3 linked regions of the Neurospora crassa OR74A genome follow. The protein of the gene in region 1 purifies or fractionates together with the protein of each later gene. This does not show direct contact. Links are inferred from orthologs where the notes say so. Each region holds a gene or a part of one and is shown in the gene's direction. Other genes may lie near its edges.

Region 1 (5,396 bases):
CAGACTGCGCCTGAGTTTCGGTGACAGTGCCAACATATCGGCTTGCAAAAGAGATGGCGCAATTCCACTCCCCTGCCGTCAAGGGCATGCTGCAGTTCCTCACATCCGCTATGACGGCGAAGTACCGCAGCATGGACTTGGAGTTTCTCCGCTGAGGCTGCCCTAATGCTTTTAGGAGCTGATGTCGCAATCGACCATTGATGTAGGGCATGCGCGGTTCCGGCAGTTGCTGGTAGAGGTCGTAGATCGTGTCAAGGTCAACCTTGTGTGGAGTGCGCAGCCGCACGAGTACAGCAAACCTGAGATCGCTCAGTGTGTGTTGGCCAAATTCGTCCAGTCCAACCACTTCGTCCGGGCCTGGATACTCGTAGTCATCTTCATTTTGTACAAAGGTGAACCGGGGCCTATCAGCGGGCGCATAATTATGCATGTAAGGATCGCGAATGAACTTGAGGTAGTCTTCGACCGTTCCATCTAGATCATGATAGGGATCTACCAGTTCAAGCAGCTCTTCTTTGGTGAGATGACCGAGCTTCGCACTGTGGGATTCGGGCAGCTCTTGTGATTGTGGGTTTGCGCCCGAGTGGGACTCGGTCGATAGATCGTCATGTAGCGCGGATGGGGCCGAGAAGACAGAGTCGGCGGGCTTCTGATCGGCACTGGGTTCGGGGGCAGCTGCGGCAACGGGGTCAGGGACCGGGGCTGCCGCCGCCGCCGCCGCCGCCGTGTGGCTCCGCTTTTGGGGAGCAGAGACCGAATAGCGGAAGAAGTTGGAGTCGAGTGCTCGTCTGCTGTTCGTGCCGGACAGACTGGTGGGAGTTACCCGCAGGGATGGGGTGGTCAGTAGCGGGCAACCGGTGGAGCCGCCTATGGGTCTCCTCGCGACCCCATCGACAAGGCCACCACTTTGTGAGCTCCAGCTGCCGTGGAAGCACCGTCGTTGTTGTACTGGGCCGAGGCCTGCTGTCGCAACCTGTCTTCTTCGTCCGCTGCCTTGGTCACCGAGCTGGATGGATGCTGTGGTTTGCGACACGGAACTGGTGGCAGCAATTGCGGTTGCGGAGGCGGCAATGGCAGACCAATTCCACGACGGACGATGCAAGAAGATGGTGCCGCATATCGACCCTTCAAATCGGCTGGAGACTTTCATGAGCTGCCGCCGTCCAACATGATGGCCTGCCCATTCAGCCAACCTTTTCTTGCCTGTTCCCCGCGAGTGTCGGCCGCAATTCGATGAAGAAGAGCTCAGAGAAGACGCAATCACAAGCTGCTGGCTGCTGCGCACTCGATTGGCACTCGATGCAATCGCGGTTACTGGCGAATTGGATCGTACTCAGGTCGATGTGGTCAGGGCGTCAGATTCGTGGAGGGCGGGGAAGTATGGGGAGAATGGGGAGAACTCGAGTCATGAAGTGAGGAGGGATGTGGCAGGAAACTGGGGTCGGGTGAGCGACGCGATGATTGAGAAAAAGTTGGGGTAGTGTAGTGGTGTACACTACAATACATGGACGAGGCACAGCTCCAGGTACCTTGCCGTGAGCACACCCCACCCCTGCCTCTACGAAAGAGGGGAAGCTGGAATAGGGTCCAGTCTCGGCCGGGCTCAAGACCCCCACTTCTGTTATCGATAAGCACCTAGCTAGGTACTTCCCTTCCCTTTGGTCGCTTAATGGCGGGGCGGGGAACTATTTTTTTTTTGCCGGCACGTCCTTCCAATTGCTCGCCCGCTCGCGGCAGGCAGGACAGCAGGTCGCGCGGGTTACCGGCAACAACTGAAGGTCGTGTCGGATCGTGCCTGTCTCCAAAAGGCACAGCTCCACTTTGGACAAAGCTAAGCAAATAGCGATAACGATAGGTTTGGCGGGTGAGGGAATCCATTGTGCCTACGCAGCGCAGCGCAGTGTATTATTATTACCTTACACAGGTATACACACCCCGTAACCTCGTAGCCTTGCCTTTGCCTTGGGAGGGTACCTGAGGAACGAAAGGACCGCCGAATCCGCCAATGGTCCTCTGATCTCAGCCAACACCACCGCTGCCGTCGATTATCACCAGTAATTCCCTCCACAACACCCAAACGCCGCCAGCGACGACCGGACAAGATGGGCAAGGGGCGCATCTTCCAGGCCGCAAAGGTCTACCAGAGGGCCAGCGAGGCTGCTGCCACCAACATCGTCTCTGGCCTGCCACCACGGAACCCACCACTGTGGCTCAAGGCCATCGAGTCCATCCCTCCCGCTGAGATCAACACCAGACCGTATCCGATCCAGCACTCTCCGCCGAACCCGCGAGCGCGCAAGCCACGCAACCTCTTTAGGCCCACCAAGATCGTCTATCCCGAAGATGAGTTGCGCCGCGACTTCTACCGCGACCACCCTTGGGAGTTGGCCAGGCCTAGGATGATTATCGAGTTGGATGGCAAGGACGCCCGTTTCCTTGACTGGTCCAAGGGCCTCAGGCAACGCGGCATCCCCTTGTCCGGCGAGAGGTACGTTGTTGGATGAGCGCATTGCACATGGCGCAAAAGCCCGGCGGACAGGCATGGAAATTGGATGCTAACCCGAATCGCAAACGATAGTGTCGTTCAACGTCAGCTCTGGCTTATGGAGAATCAAGGCATGACCAAGCAGGAAGCCTACGACAAGGCGCGCCACGAGTTCTACAAGTTGAGGCAGTTGGAGCAGATGGAGCGCAGGATAGCCGTCGAGGAGGCCCGCATGGTTGGTGGCTACTTTGGCAAGGACCTTCTGACGGTCGGCATGGAGCTCGAGAACAAGACGTATGAGAGTTGGAAGAAGTGGGCTACGACCGAGATCGCCCGCCAGGAATCTGCCAGGGCTTCCATGTACACCAATGTCGTCGACAACTCTGCGCTCGAGGAATCTGAGGAGGACGAGCTGCTCGCGCAGAATTAAGGCAACGAATTGGAGTAAAAGGGGAGGGACAGAGTGGTATAGCGTGGCTGATACCCATCCGTGTCGGGGAAAGACGATGCCGGCCCACTCGTGCACAAGTGTAAGAATATCACGTCTCTTTGTACATATAGAGAGGGCAAGAGACTTTGTAGAAGTACATGTGATTCAGGAGCCTGGTCGCCTATCTTCGAAGAAACCCGGCAGACACCGGCCCGATATACTGACTGCCCTTGAATATTTTCGCCAGACTCTCGTGCTGCACACCGACAACATCGGCAATGCCCGTTTTTAGAAACAACTTCCCCGTCAGACTCATCGTCTTGGACCTGGCCCAGGTCTCGATGTACACCACCTTGGCCCTGTTTTCGGGTACGAGGTAGAATATCTTGAGCAAGTGGGCCACCAAACACACAATAAAGCCGTTGGCAGGCCCATTTGTAACAATCACATGCGGGTATCTGAATCCCTTTCCATGATCCTTTGTTGACCGTGGGTTGGGCATCCGTGTGAGGGCATTGGCGGCATGAAAGGCGGATATGAGGCAGGTAAAGGGTGCCGTATAGAGCGGTTGATGGACCTTGCGCGCACGGCGGATTAAGAAGATATCAGAGGTGCCTGCTCGATCATCTTCTCCGGGATAGGCGTCCTTGATAGTCGCTTCCAGAAGGCGGGCCTTGCCGAGAGAGGAAGTGTCTCCGATGGAGATGATGTACCGCCGGTGGATGTTTGCCTGGCCGCGAAATGACTGCTTGATGGTCTCAATCATCTCAGCAGTGTGTCCACCAGAGCCAAGTATATATGTGAAGTAAATAGCAGGAAGAGAGGTGGTGTTGGGAACTTGTGTGCCAGCGGCATTGGGTTGGGGCGTATTGCTGGGGACGAGCCAGCTGCCACCTGGCTTTTGACGCCGGCGTATCATTTCAAAGTGCCGGTAGACAATAAAGGTACCAAGCACTATCCCGACGGTGATGACGAGGGAGATGAGCCATAGCCATGATAGACCAGAGAGGAGAAGCCCGGCTGCGGTGGAGGATGCTGCACCCGCAACAAAGGTGGCTGCTGTCAAGTTGATGCCGCTCACAGTCTCAACATGTAACTGAGAGTAGCTCTCAGCTCTGGTGTCGGGCTTTAGCTCTTGATCATTGCGCGATTCTTCCTTGCCCGCCAGCACGGACGCTGAAGTAGTAGGGGCCATTCTAGAGAGCCCCAAAGGTCTCTTCAAAATTCTATTGGTATAATTAGTTTCACATTCTTTGAATATGGAGTCTGGGTACTTGATGGTGTCACCTCGTCGAATCTTGATAACGTGTTTTGTTTGGAGGTTTCCTGAAGTCACGCCTTCCAAAATAAAGGGGCTAATAAACAATGACAAAAGGGGCACATCCAATTGGGGTAAGAAGGAGAGGCTTGTTTGGTGCCGTCTGGAGGTGAACATGTAGACTCGCTCATATAAGCCCCATGCCGACTTGACACATGTGTCTCCAGGTGAATGGGTGTTTTAGATCTGGCAAGATTTAAAGCGTGATATATGACATCAAGATCAAAGGCTTTTAAGTCGTAGAGGCATGTGGAAAAAATGACACTGAGCAAAAGGCGATGGAGGTGTGGTTTCTGTAGAGGTAGCTACATGACGGGAATGAGCCAGTGCATGTCGCTTTACGGGGCACGACAATGAATGACGGGAAGCTTGGGCCAAATTGAAACCCCTGAAAGAGAGACCTGGAGAACACCCGACACGCACCCCTGGGCCCTGATGATCTGCCGAATAGCGGAAGGGAATGACGACGGTGGCCCCACTGGTGACTGCGATTTGGGCGCATTTGGCGGCCCAGGCCGCTAAAAAGTTGACCGACCGCCTGGCAGAAAGCGGGAAGTTGGGAACCGCATGGATGCTTGTTGTCAACGAAACCTCAAGAGAGAGAGCTCCTCCTCACTCAGTAACCCCAAAGTCCCATGTCGCTTCAGTTCCATCTTCACATTCCATCCGTCTTGAATGGATACCACCTTTCACCACTTAGACGACCTCCAATTGAGCAATCACCTATAAACAGAGGAACCATTCCACGACAAATTGAGTTCTCGGTCTCCAATACCTGCGATTAGCTTCAGCGGTTGGGGACATATTTGAAGGAGGCTTTCTGCCCCGTGTCGCAGAGAAAGGGAAGACATTGCGCGCCGCTTTCTGAAAACCGAACACATTCTGCAATGGGCATCGCGTGAACGCGCAACCACTCGAAGCAATGCCCAGACTGAACAGGACTCGATATCTAACATGCTTCTATTGTGGCCGCAAGACCTCGACCCCATGGAACAGCTCTATCCGCAACTTCGAATGCCGGAACTGCGACGCAACAAACTACCTTGATGGTGTAGGTCTCCCTGCTGTCTTGAATCTATCCAGTTGACCTGGCTGGCGCATATTGTACCTATTTACTGACACCTTCTCTTTGCTCCGCTAGAACGGCGACATCACCGATCCTC
Region 2 (6,143 bases), on another chromosome or scaffold:
GGTCTTGCCGTGTGGAGGTAGGCGGAGAGCTTATCCAAGCCAGGTTCTGGTTCGACGGCAAGAACCTCGAAAATGCCAAAGAGGATGCCGCTGAACTGGCTTTGAGCCGCCTCCTCACCAGCACGAGATCGCCATCATCGGCAACTAGCCGGGGTAGCATCTGGTGATTGCGAGAGTCGTCCAATACCTTGCTGCTGGATCGGCATGATTGAGATGGCATTTCTGCACGTCCTAATTTGATTTACTACGGCGTTTTGTGTCCCCCCATATATCTAGCCCCGACGGCGTTTCTTTTGTCAGATTTGCTTTGTACAACAACAACAACAACAACAACAACAACAACAACAACCACCCTACGGCCCTGCACCTAGGTGTTCGCCCTGCTTCGGAGTAGCAGCAATCGCTCACACCAAAGATTATCGATTCCGAAGGCATTTACTACAGCCAAGGCTACGACGAGCGTGGGGGAATCCAACGGATGGCCCAGTTGGGTCGAACAAAAGCGGCGCTGTGGCAATCTGCTTGTTCTACCCGTCCGGAGCAAAGCCGTCTGTCAGATTGCGGGATTTCAATAACTCTGGAGTCTCGGTCATCACCGTCCCAATCATCAACATGGTCGATACGAGGAAATGATGCATGGAAGTTTGGAGGATGCTGGGGCTCGTTGACTCGCTAGGGATCTGGGTTGACTCTTGACCGCAAGTTGACGGTCGAGTCCCTTGGTTCTGGGTTGACTTGCTTCTCCCTACCAACGCTACTGGTGGCATCATATCTACGACAATGATTTGTTGGGGGATGGAATTCGACTGGGACCAGAAGGGATCTCCATCTGTCAGATGACAGGCTTACCCGACATTCTTTGGTTGTCTCACAACAGGGCGGACACCAAATGCCTATGATCTGCTTGTTTTGGGCTTTGGTTTTGTTTTCATATTTCAGTTGCCATTACTTAATACCCTTTTTGTTCTGTTTTGGTTTTTCTTCGGGTGGTAATCTACAAGGAGGAGGGATATCTGATATAATGGTATTTTAATCAGCAATTTGGGGTGTCTCTCTTCTAGGAGAAGGGAGGGACAATTGGCGGGATGGCAAGGGCTTTTATTACGAGGGAGGGAGGCATTTGCGCGAAAGTTTGGTCAAAAGTTTTGATTGATGTTGGGGCAGTCTAGGAAGAGATGGGGGGAAGAGACTGGTGGGGGCAGACGCAAATTCGGGAGTTAACTCTTTGCGACTTTCTCAAAACGACGCTTGGGATGAGGGGAGATGACTGGCTGGATCCGGTCTGAGTGGTACAACGACAGTCATGAGCGTTACGAGGCTGGGCTTCTCTTTTGCTTTGACGACTGGTTATGTCATTTCCTTCCACCTTTGGTCTAATGAGTGAGCGTCTTAAAAATCTTGAACACCAGACTGCAATGTCAAGAACATATGATCGGTTCAACCTGTTGACACGTGAAAGAGAAGGATGTGTATGAGCTGACGACCTCGAGAATTAGCAGCCTTACACGACGATCTCGCGAACATCTGGGCAGCCCTACGGTCAAAAGCCTAACTCTACCAACGGAGTATAGAATGAGAACGCCAAACCATTTAGGAAGAGATGACAGTCAGGTTTGTTACACCAGGGGCAAGAATCTATTTATGTAAGTGGTTAGCCAATGTAAAAGAAAGGTCGCTCTCCCGTGACCACCTGGCGGCATTCCACCACTGCGCCTCCTATGCAGCTCAACGTGGCTCTTGCATGACCAAGTCCCGATCTAGTCCTCTCGACAGCCTTTGTATTGGGGATTTGGTGCAACCTGAAACATGATATTTTGTGGTATCCGGGATCAGTACGTACATGCTCCGTATAGTGTATATCCGAACCGAGGTAAAACAATTTGTTTTAGTCAACGAACGCTTCGGGACGGAGGGGTAATACAAGACACGGAGCCGAGGCCGGGGGGCCGGGGTCGGGACCGCACCACATACCAAACCAATAGCTGAATGGTTACTCTCGCATGGGCGGACTGTAGATACGGCGCGGGGGCCCGAAGAAGAAAACGGAATATTCGTTGGTCAACCACAAACACAACAAATTTACGACGAAATTTTTACCGAATGGACGGATGACCGCCTGCCTATCCGCGGCTGGCCAGTTCTTACACTAGATCGTTACTCAACGTCAAAGTACTTTGCTTCTTCAGAGGTTTACTACAGGCTTCCAGGTCCACAGAAACCGCACTTTGCCGTAAGGGGGTGTAGTGTAGAATAGTAAAATATGGTGTAAATCACCAGTCACCACCCATCATGCACCGCACAACAGGGATACCGTTAGTGGGTACCTTGGATATGTAGATGTAAGTAAACTCGATGCGGCTTCTTGCCTTGACTGAAGGTGGTGGACATGTTGATATTGAACACCCCATCGAGAGTGAGGCGGCAAGTCATGACAGGGACAAAGCTAGGTACCTAGTCAAGACAAGGCGAGCCACATATAAACAAGCAGAGCGTACAGAGTGTGAAATAACATTGTGTTCGATGCCCCTAGTAGAGAAGTCAATTTGCTAGTTTATCTACATACTGTCCTTCCTAGGTGTCCCGAACTTAACCGCATCTACACTAATGACGATCTGACTTGCCATGTCCAGCTTGTCTTGACCGACGGATCCGATTATGCTGCTGTTGAGAGACATTTGAGGCGGTCTAGTCTAGCACCTCTTTTGGCAGGAAACGAGCCTCGGACTCGTAACCAGTGAGGACCCTTGTCTTGATGGCTTCAGTTGTACATAGTGTAGTGTAGATTCTTTGAAAGTGCATGTTGGTGGAGGAGGTGGTGGGTTACCTCTACCCTCCCTGGGCCCATCACCAGGATCAGCCGATCAGGATCAGGAACCAGATCGGCTGCAGTTGGAGATCGCGGCCTGTGGGTTGGTGGATATCAAGGTACCATGTTGACCTTGTCCAAACTAAACTCCCCAAACAGGGAGGATTGGATGGAAGGATGGAAGGATACAAGATGACGACGACTGACGGCCAGGTAGGGGACCAGGTTGGGTGATCAACGAACGCCGCCGCGTGGGGGGGGCCCACGTCCGAGTTGCCGGATGGAGTTCGGTTGTTGATCAGGGGAGCTGGGGAGGGGGGGTGGCTTTTTAAGGTTATGGTCTGTGCGTTCCCTCTTTTTTATTTTTCTTTTGGCGGGGGGTTTGAGCCGCAGCGGCGCACCAACGTCGTCCTCGGGAAAACTCCGGAAAGGCGAACGGCTCCAAAAAATTGTTCCTGAAGTCCCGCTCTCCGGGGCTCCACTCGATGCCACTGCCGCCGGCCAAACATTGCAGAGTCCGCCGAGATCACGAGTGTTCGAGTCCCTCCCCCCGGCTGCTTCGCGGGTTCGTTGCGTGCGCGTAGTAGTGTCTGTCCGCCCCGTGTTTGAGTGGTGTTTCCCAAGCCGGCCCGCCCTCCGTCCGCCGCCTTCGTTCTGCCCCCCCGCGCCGTGTGTGTGTACCCCCACCGTCGTCGTCGTCGCAAGCCGATTAGCCAGCAAACTCAACCACCACCATCACCACTACCGAACACCCGCATCACCACCACAAACAAAGATGCCTGCGAGGTTGGGTCTCAGTGCCGCCTTCCGGTCCCTGTCCATCCGGACAAACCAATTGCCTCAGCAGCAATCGATTGCCGCCGCCGTGCAGGCGCGCACCCTCATCACAGATTCCACCACCTCGTCGAGGCTACCACCCAGAGTCCAAATCCAGCAGCAACAACAACAAAGGACACAACCATACTCGACCGAGACCACCCCTCCTCCCAACAGCAACAATGGTGACCTTGCCGGCATTGAAGGCCAACCACCAGTAGAGGTCACCCCCGAGAACGCTGCCGCCCTGTCCCAGTTGTCGGAGATCGCATACGGTGTCAAGGCGGCCGACGTCGCGATCGAGGGCCACAAGTACGGTCTGCCTACGCTGCCGCTGCCGTCGGAGCTGCACCACAAGTACCGCTACTCGGAGGTCGTCAACCACGCTACCAAGCTACTCATGAAGGATGGAAAGCTGAGCAAGGCGCAGAGGGTACGACGGTCCCTCCCCCATATGCCCATTACTCCCACTTTACCTACGGCACCTCTGCTCAAACTACTTTGCGATCACAAAGCTAACACACTATCCTTTTTCTTAACATAACAGGACATGGCCATGATCCTAAACTACCTCCGCTCCTCGCCCCCTCCCAAACTCAACCCCTCGCGCCCTCTGATCCCCGGCCACCCTCCGGCCTCGCACCTGCCGCTCAACCCGGTCGAGTACCTCACGGTCGCCATTGACTCGGTAGCGCCCCTGATCAAGATGCGCGGCTACAAGGGTCTGGCCGGTGGTGGTCGCTCTCTCGAAGTGCCGCAGCCCATCCCGGCGCGCCAGCGCCGCTCCACGGCCTTCAAGTGGATTCTGGATGTGGTCAACAAGAAGCCGAGCAAGGGATCCGGTCGCACCATGTTTGCGCACCGCGTGGCTGAGGAGATTGTGGCTGTCGTCGAGGGCAGGAGCTCGGTCTGGGATAAGCGGATGTTGATTCACAAGCTGGGCACGGCCAACAGAGCCAATCTGAACTCGCCGGCGCTGCAGTTGAAGGGCAAGAGGTTCTGAGGTTGATTGGTTGATTGATTGATTGATGGACACCCTGTTAAGCCAACAACATAGCGAAGCCAAGCAATCTCTGACCGACAGCCTTTTTCTTGTGTATACTAGTTTTTTGTGTGTGTATGGATATGTATGCTCCTACTTTGCTGCTGCTGCTGCTGCTGCTGCTGCTGCCGCCTCTGTGATGGAGCGAAAAAGCCGGTGAAAGGTTTTGGGCTCATTGTGAAGCCGGGTGTCTTGTCTTAGCTTGTTTGGTTACGGTTCTGGCGAGGTTGATGGTGGCCAATGACCCTTGACTGACCATATTCTTGGATTTAGAGGTAATGGACACAAACATACTACGCACAACCTATAGCTACAATGTGGTTTAAAAAAAGGTCAGCAGTGGATCTCAGCCTGGAGTGATCCGGCTAAGATATCGACACACGGGCTGTACAATTTGTATACGAGTTTCTACAGGATTCTGAATACCACGGCTTGTTACATGACGAGGATTGTTTGCTGTCTTGTCAGATGACTTTTATCACGAGCATCGCAGGAGGTCGAATAACTTGGGGTTTCGAATGGAGTTGTAGCAAGAGAGCCGTCAACAGGAGTGATCCTTGTTGCGAGTAATCTTTTTTGAGGTGTGCTCAGGAGCAGCATCGATAGTCATAAGGAAGTAAGAGGAAAGAACTTGATATTCATAACCAGTAGATGATAACTGAAAACCGACCACGTCAATTGAGTTTGTCGGTCACAGAAAGTGGGCTCTAATCACGCTCAGGACGATGCAGTGTGACAAGCAAAGACTAGGTACCCAAACATCCATCACATGCGCAATTACGTCTCCTAGATCACGACCACTTCGACTTATCATTTTACTCTTGTTTTTTCCCTATGTCATCGCAACACATTACATACTTATAGACGCAATTTGAGGTTGTGGCTGAAAAGAGAATCATCAAACAACTGTCGCTGTCTCGTGTGGGGCCAACGGCGGCGCAGCGCGTGGTCTGGTGGATCAAGAAATGCCGAGCATGGGATTCGGTTATTACCCTGACTCAGCTCGGGCAAGCAATGTTGGAACTCTTCTAGCTCGGTCAAAAATGTTCCATTGGAGCTCTTGAACGCAAAGTCCAGGTCCCCTTTCCAACGCCTGAACCTGGGGGCGGGTGCAGAGATCTTGGCGGGAGGCAAATAATCAACCTTAAATTTAAAGGGTACTTACTTCATCCACTTACATGATTGTTCATGTTCTTTGCAACATTACCCAGTTGAGTGGCAGCCCATGCGAAGCGGCGTTGGCTGATTACTCACTTCTACTTACTTGATATCTGCAACTTTCACCAACTCGGTCGTGTGATGACGGAATTCCAAAAAGGGCAACAAACAGATAACCACAACAACTGAACACAGCAATAACGCCCAGACTGCACACAACAACCCGTCCCGCCGCGAGTTGGTCCGTCATCCAGGTTTCTGGGATAGGTACTCAAGCCTTACACCTTAAACCACAGGCAGGCAGTGACACTGCCCAGCACT
Region 3 (5,349 bases), on another chromosome or scaffold:
CTTCTGCTTGACAGGTCGCGGTACCCGAGCTTGTGCCACCTGGAAGAGAAGGTTTAGACACCGATCATCGGACCGAGTTCTGGCTTTCACTTTGTCTGGTGACAGCGTCTGTCCGGAAGCAAATTATCAAACACCATGCAAGTGACTAGGGGATCCGGCATACCAAAGACCATGCTTGATGATCATCGGAATGTCGAGTCTTCTTATTCGGCTCAACATGCAACGGCAAACTGCAAGAAGGCTAAGAGCTCTCCGATCTAGGGGTAATGCTGCTGCAGCGTGGGACAGATCGCTTCAACCTATTGCGACATGCTGAATGGCAGTTCCCCATCGAAGAAGGATGCGACCATTAGCCGAACCGAAGGCGTGCAGAAATTCGGAACGACAGTCCTGCAACTCTCTCCATTTGCGGAATAAAACCCCCGGGATAGGTAGACATAGGGTATAACCTGGACGGACACAAAAATAGATATATCAGGTCAACAAGTCAAATGTCTTACAACATCCCGCACAACCCCAGGGGTACAATATCCGAGAGATTGCTGTATAGGTAGGTATGCGTGAAAGACAAAGGTGGCTGGGGAAGAGGAGACAACTCATCCGACATCGTTTTATTTTCCTACACGTCTTCTTATTTCTTGATACCCACAACGACGAGATTTCGAGGGCTCTGGCCATAGTCAAATACTGTCTCCACCCAGCAGTCGCGAACAATATCGGAATGTTCCTTGAGGAACAGGTACCGGTCAGTCACGATAAGGGACTCAACAACGCACGCGCTAAAGGCCATCAGGCTCCAGACTGCGCTGAGCTCCCGCTTTCGGGGCAGGTACGCGGCCTCGTACTTGGCAATCTCCTCGTCGGTGATGTCACTTAGCTTCTCGCGTACAATCTGGCTGTACTGGCTAAAGTCCGAGTTGGTCGTTAGCTTCGTGATCGCTCCGCGGACGTAGGCGCTGAACGAGGTGTAGCATTGCTTCCTGAGTGAGCCGATCACGACGGGGTTGGTGCTGAAGTTGAACGGGCTCTCGTTGCCATCCTCGCCCTCGCCCTCGCCCTCGCTTGGCCCGTGGTAGACCTTGGAAATGACCCCCTTGTCGAGGAATATCCTTTGCAAGACGGCGCGGTAAAAGTGGCGGGTGAAGAAGGCATCGCTCTCCTTGTCGGTCCAGTTCCCGGGTGCTTGGCACGCCATCATACGCGCTGTAATGTTGAGTCGGATGCCTTGGTCATTGTAGGTGGAGAGTTTCTCACTCATGGGGAAACCCTGGGGATCTCGTCTCTCGGACTCCCTAACAACACGAGCATTCAATGGCTGAAGGGTTGGCCGACTGAAGCAAGGCTTGAAAGTCGGAGGACCCAGTTTTTCGGTGAGAAGGTTGTAGCAGCAACCCACGATTGCAACGGCGTGGATAGACGAGTTGAGGACCATGGACCGGATGCCGTAGTGAGAGAGGTTGCCACATGAGTGGATGGACACAGCCATCATGCTGAGATCATCCTCGCTGTGAGTTTCCGTGTACTCCAGCTGGGAGATCACAGGGGCCAAGTCGGCATCTCCCAACTTGGCAACGACGTACTCAATGCTGCCCTTTCCTTCCTCCCGCGCATAAGTGGCCTGAAGCTCCTTTCTCGATCGGAGATCAATGGTAGCAATATCTTCGTCTGTCACACCCAGTGCCTTTGCGGCGCGCTTCAGTGCCTCTTCATCGTTGGCTTCTGACGGATCTACACTTTCCATAATGCGGTGGTAGAGCTTCTTGTTGCGGATTCTCTTCTCCCGCTCAGCTAGACCGGACAAGATATCGAGATCCTTAGCGCCTGCTGTGTTGGCCTCCTTGCTCTCCACGGCAACAATATGCTTGTTGTACGGAGGACTCGCCAGAGCGCGGCCTAGATAATTCTGGCCACTGCCAAAGTCTACCAAGTGCGTCAGTTCCTGTCCCCTCACCCGAGCGACGTCCTCCGAGAGCCTGTCGATGTATCCGGAAAAGTGAGTGACTTCGTGAACTTTCTTGGTGTTCATTCCCAAAGCTACCTGCCGAGGAAGCACCGGTAGTTTTGGCTTGCTGGGCTGGAAGGAGCGTCGTAAAGAAAGTTTCCTGATATCCTTGACATATTGAACCAGCGTCTCGGGAGGCTGTCCCGGGCCAGTTTGCGCGGCAAGTGTGTCAAGATCATCTCTCATCAAGAAATCCAAAAGGACCATGGGCTCGGTCTGCACCAGGTACTCCTGCCATTCCTTGGGAACGGCAGAGACAAATAGGCCGGGCTCGCTGGTGAAGAAGTCAAGAATGTGGACACCACCACAGAGAAACTGGAAAAGGTGGGAATTGGTCGCAAAGTCCAGCAGACTGTCGACATATTGGTCTGCAGATGAAAAATCATCCGAGTATGGAAGAGGCTTTTCTGGCCTCGCAGTAAAGTCGATCGTCATGATGTGTATGGTGAGTGGTTGTTCATCTGCATTTTTGGCACATCGCCATGAAATTTTGGCTTTCTTTTCGCAAGACTCATACGGTAAAGTGTATGCATGAGGTACAATCGCATGTGTATAACCTTTATGGCGACAGCTGGCGGAGCATGGGATGCCAGCTGTCCCGCACCCCAAATGCTCCGCTGCGGATTTGCACCGGCCAATGCGGGCTCCCCCACGATCCGCCGCCTGCCCGGCAAGTCTGCACGCCCGGTTCCAAATCGCGGGTTGCGGGTTGCTGAGAGCTGAGAGTCGAGACTCCTCCGCGATTCCTGAACCGAGTTATGCCCATTGCGACAAGGTGACTTATCGTCGGCTAACAAGATGGTACCTACAACGGCCTCTGCGATTTCCGGGAATATTTGTCCAAAAGTTCTAACATTTTATTGCTAGGTGTTCATCCTGGGAGTCAACTTCAATGAGCACAAGCTCGTCCAGGTGCGCTCTCCTCCTCGTCCTCGTCCTCGTCCTCCTCTGCGCTCCAAGAATCACCCTGGTTAACCTTCCACTTGCGAACCACAGAAAGCTCTCGAGAGCTTCTACGGCCTAGGCCAGCAGGCCTCTGCCCGCATTCTCGCAAAGTATTCGATCCACCCGCGCGCGAAGATGGGCACCCTCCCGCCCAAGATCGTCACTGCCCTGACGGCCGAACTGTCGACCATGACAATCGAGAACGACGCCAGGAGGCTGGTGCTGGACAACATCAAGCGCCTCCGTGATATGGGTACCTACCGCGGTCGTCGCCATGCCATGGGTCTGCCCGTGCGCGGTCAGCAGACGAGGAACCAGATCGCCAACGCCAGGAAGCTCAACAAGATCGAGCGCCACGGTTGAGCGAGTCGATGACGGTAATGGTGACGGGAACCTTGGAGAATACCATGACGTCTGGATATTTCTGGAGCAATTCTGCTACGCGACATTTGCTTCGATAGCTGTCGGACCATGGGATCGAACGCATGGACAGAGAAGAAAGAGATGTGCCTGACGTGGCTCGGCTGGGTGTTGTCGAGCTTTTAGAGCAGGCAGGCAGGCAAAATCAGTGTACGATACGTCAAGCCAGAACGAAGACACGCTGGGACGCAAAAGGAATCAGGCGCGGCGTTGTAGAGCAATTCATCGGATCAAGTCAAAACACGGGCAACTTTTTGCTTATTGACTCGAATCACGACAGACATTTATGATACCCAATTCCCGAGTCTATATGCTAGCCAGATCTTGTGTCTTTATATAAGCAGCTTGCCATCTGCAGGCTCATCTTGGAGCTATCTACGCTGCCACAAAACTTTGCGGAAACACGGTAATTTTCTCTACGTGCCGCCCATTCAGATGTCTACTCCTCGGGCATCAAGTTAGGCAGATCATCCTCCAGAGCCGACTCACCAGCAGCTTGCATCGTAGCCGCCACGAGCTCAACATCCCTCCACACGCGGAGTATGTTACCGCCCACGACCTTGCTCACATCCTCATCACTAACACCCCGTCGAAGCAGCTCGGCCACCAAGTCCGGGTAGCGCGAGACATCTTCCAGTCCCTTCGGGACGACTGGAATCCCATCAAAGTCACTACCCAGACCGACATGATCATATCCAATCAGCTCGCCAATATGAATGATATGGTCAGCCACATGCTCCAGAGTCGCATTGGCCGGGTAAAAATCCGGCAGCCCATCGTCCCTGTCCGGCGCCGCCACGCACGAGATAAAGTCGGGTGAGAAGTTGACCATAACCAGCGAGTTGCGCTCCTTGACCAGACGAAGGACGTCATCCGGCACGTTGCGCGGGTGGGGGCACAGCGCGTAGGCGCTCGAGTGGCTGAAGATGACAGGGGCCCTGCTGCCATTCCAGTCCTTGCCCGAGCCACCCAAAACATCCTTCATCGTGTCGACGCTGGTGTGGGCCAGATCCACGATCATGCCGATGCGGTTCATCTCGTTGACTAGGGCTTCGCCGGCCGGGCTGACGCCGCCCCAGTGGGACGGGGCCTTGCGGAATGGGTTCTCCTGCAGGGCGGCGTCGGCGTACTTGTTGCCGCAGTTGTGGACCAAGGTCGCGTAGCGGACGCCCAGGGCGTGGTAGCGCCGCAGCGTGGCGGCCGAGTTGCCGATCTGGTGCAGGCCCTCGATGCCCATGGGCGAGATGAGCTGGTTGTGGTGCTTCCAGGCCTTGTAGGCGGCTTTGCTGGAGACTGCCGGCCCGAGGTCCTTGGGATAGGCGGCTTTGAGGCGGTCGACTAGGTCGATCTGTTGGAGGGTAGCCTGGACGGCTGTGTGGTTGGAAAGGGATAATGTCAGACTCTTTTTCTCTTGACGTGCTATGCAGTAAGGCTGCGTGAAAGGTTGAACCCACCGGGCAGATAGTTTTCATCAGAAAAGTCGGAGCCGTTGGCAGGGCAAGGCCAGAACAAGCTCCAGAAGGCCCCTCCGTTCATACCAGCTCTCAGGCGTGCAAGGTCGACATGACCGGGGAGCGTGCCGTCTTCCCAGCCGGTGGTAAAGTTCTTGTCATTGATGTGGTTCTTGAAAGCGGCTCGCAGCAGGATTGGCAAATCATTGTGTCCATCTATACTCTATGTCAGTATTTGGTGAATAATTATTGATTTGTGGTCGTACCGATCAATGGAGTGTGTGACAGGATACGCTTCACGCGTTTTTCAATGCTCTTCTCCCTCGGGTAGCTGGGCAGGCAACCCGACATGCCATAGCTGGCGGGTCGGACGAGAAGGTGAAGCAATAAAAGAGAGATGATCACGGCGGCCCAGAACTTGCGGCCGAATCCTCGCCGTTGACGGCGCGTGTTGGGGGCGGATAAACGCTCAACATCATCCCCGACATCGCGGGTCTTTTCTTCCTTCATCTTCTCAGGGACGACTGTTTC

What was found.
Region 2: the proteins of NCU03343 (region 1) and NCU04806 purify together in Saccharomyces cerevisiae (affinity purification with mass spectrometry, with the first as the bait; 3 studies listed by BioGRID). This does not show direct contact. The link is inferred for Neurospora crassa OR74A from reciprocal best matches to the Saccharomyces cerevisiae genes RSM25 and RSM7.
Region 3: the proteins of NCU03343 (region 1) and NCU09539 purify together in Saccharomyces cerevisiae (affinity purification with mass spectrometry, with the first as the bait; 3 studies listed by BioGRID). This does not show direct contact. The link is inferred for Neurospora crassa OR74A from reciprocal best matches to the Saccharomyces cerevisiae genes RSM25 and SWS2.

The regions. Positions count from the first base shown.
Region 1 is NC_026502.1:1,032,783-1,038,178, reverse strand, and holds NCU03343 (mitochondrial 37S ribosomal protein RSM25), read left to right. Parts: upstream 1-1,762; 5' UTR 1,763-2,102; coding exon 2,103-2,488; intron 2,489-2,578; coding exon 2,579-2,915; 3' UTR 2,916-3,096; downstream 3,097-5,396. Other genes in the region: NCU03342 (hypothetical protein), read right to left, coding at 1-1,150; NCU03344 (hypothetical protein), read right to left, coding at 3,097-4,110; NCU03345 (hypothetical protein), read left to right, coding at 5,156-5,284, 5,375-5,396. UniProt on the Saccharomyces cerevisiae protein: Component of the mitochondrial ribosome (mitoribosome), a dedicated translation machinery responsible for the synthesis of mitochondrial genome-encoded proteins, including at least some of the essential transmembrane subunits of the mitochondrial respiratory chain.
Region 2 is NC_026506.1:885,842-891,984, forward strand, and holds NCU04806 (hypothetical protein), read left to right. Parts: upstream 1-3,199; 5' UTR 3,200-3,581; coding exon 3,582-4,055; intron 4,056-4,169; coding exon 4,170-4,625; 3' UTR 4,626-5,459; downstream 5,460-6,143. Other genes in the region: NCU04805 (hypothetical protein), read left to right, coding at 1-167.
Region 3 is NC_026505.1:4,525,039-4,530,387, reverse strand, and holds NCU09539 (putative mitochondrial 37S ribosomal protein SWS2), read left to right. Parts: upstream 1-2,641; 5' UTR 2,642-2,800; coding exon 2,801-2,803; intron 2,804-2,869; coding exon 2,870-2,914; intron 2,915-2,998; coding exon 2,999-3,310; 3' UTR 3,311-3,774; downstream 3,775-5,349. Other genes in the region: NCU09540 (hypothetical protein), read right to left, coding at 632-2,437; NCU09538 (microsomal dipeptidase), read right to left, coding at 3,807-4,738, 4,822-5,034, 5,085-5,328.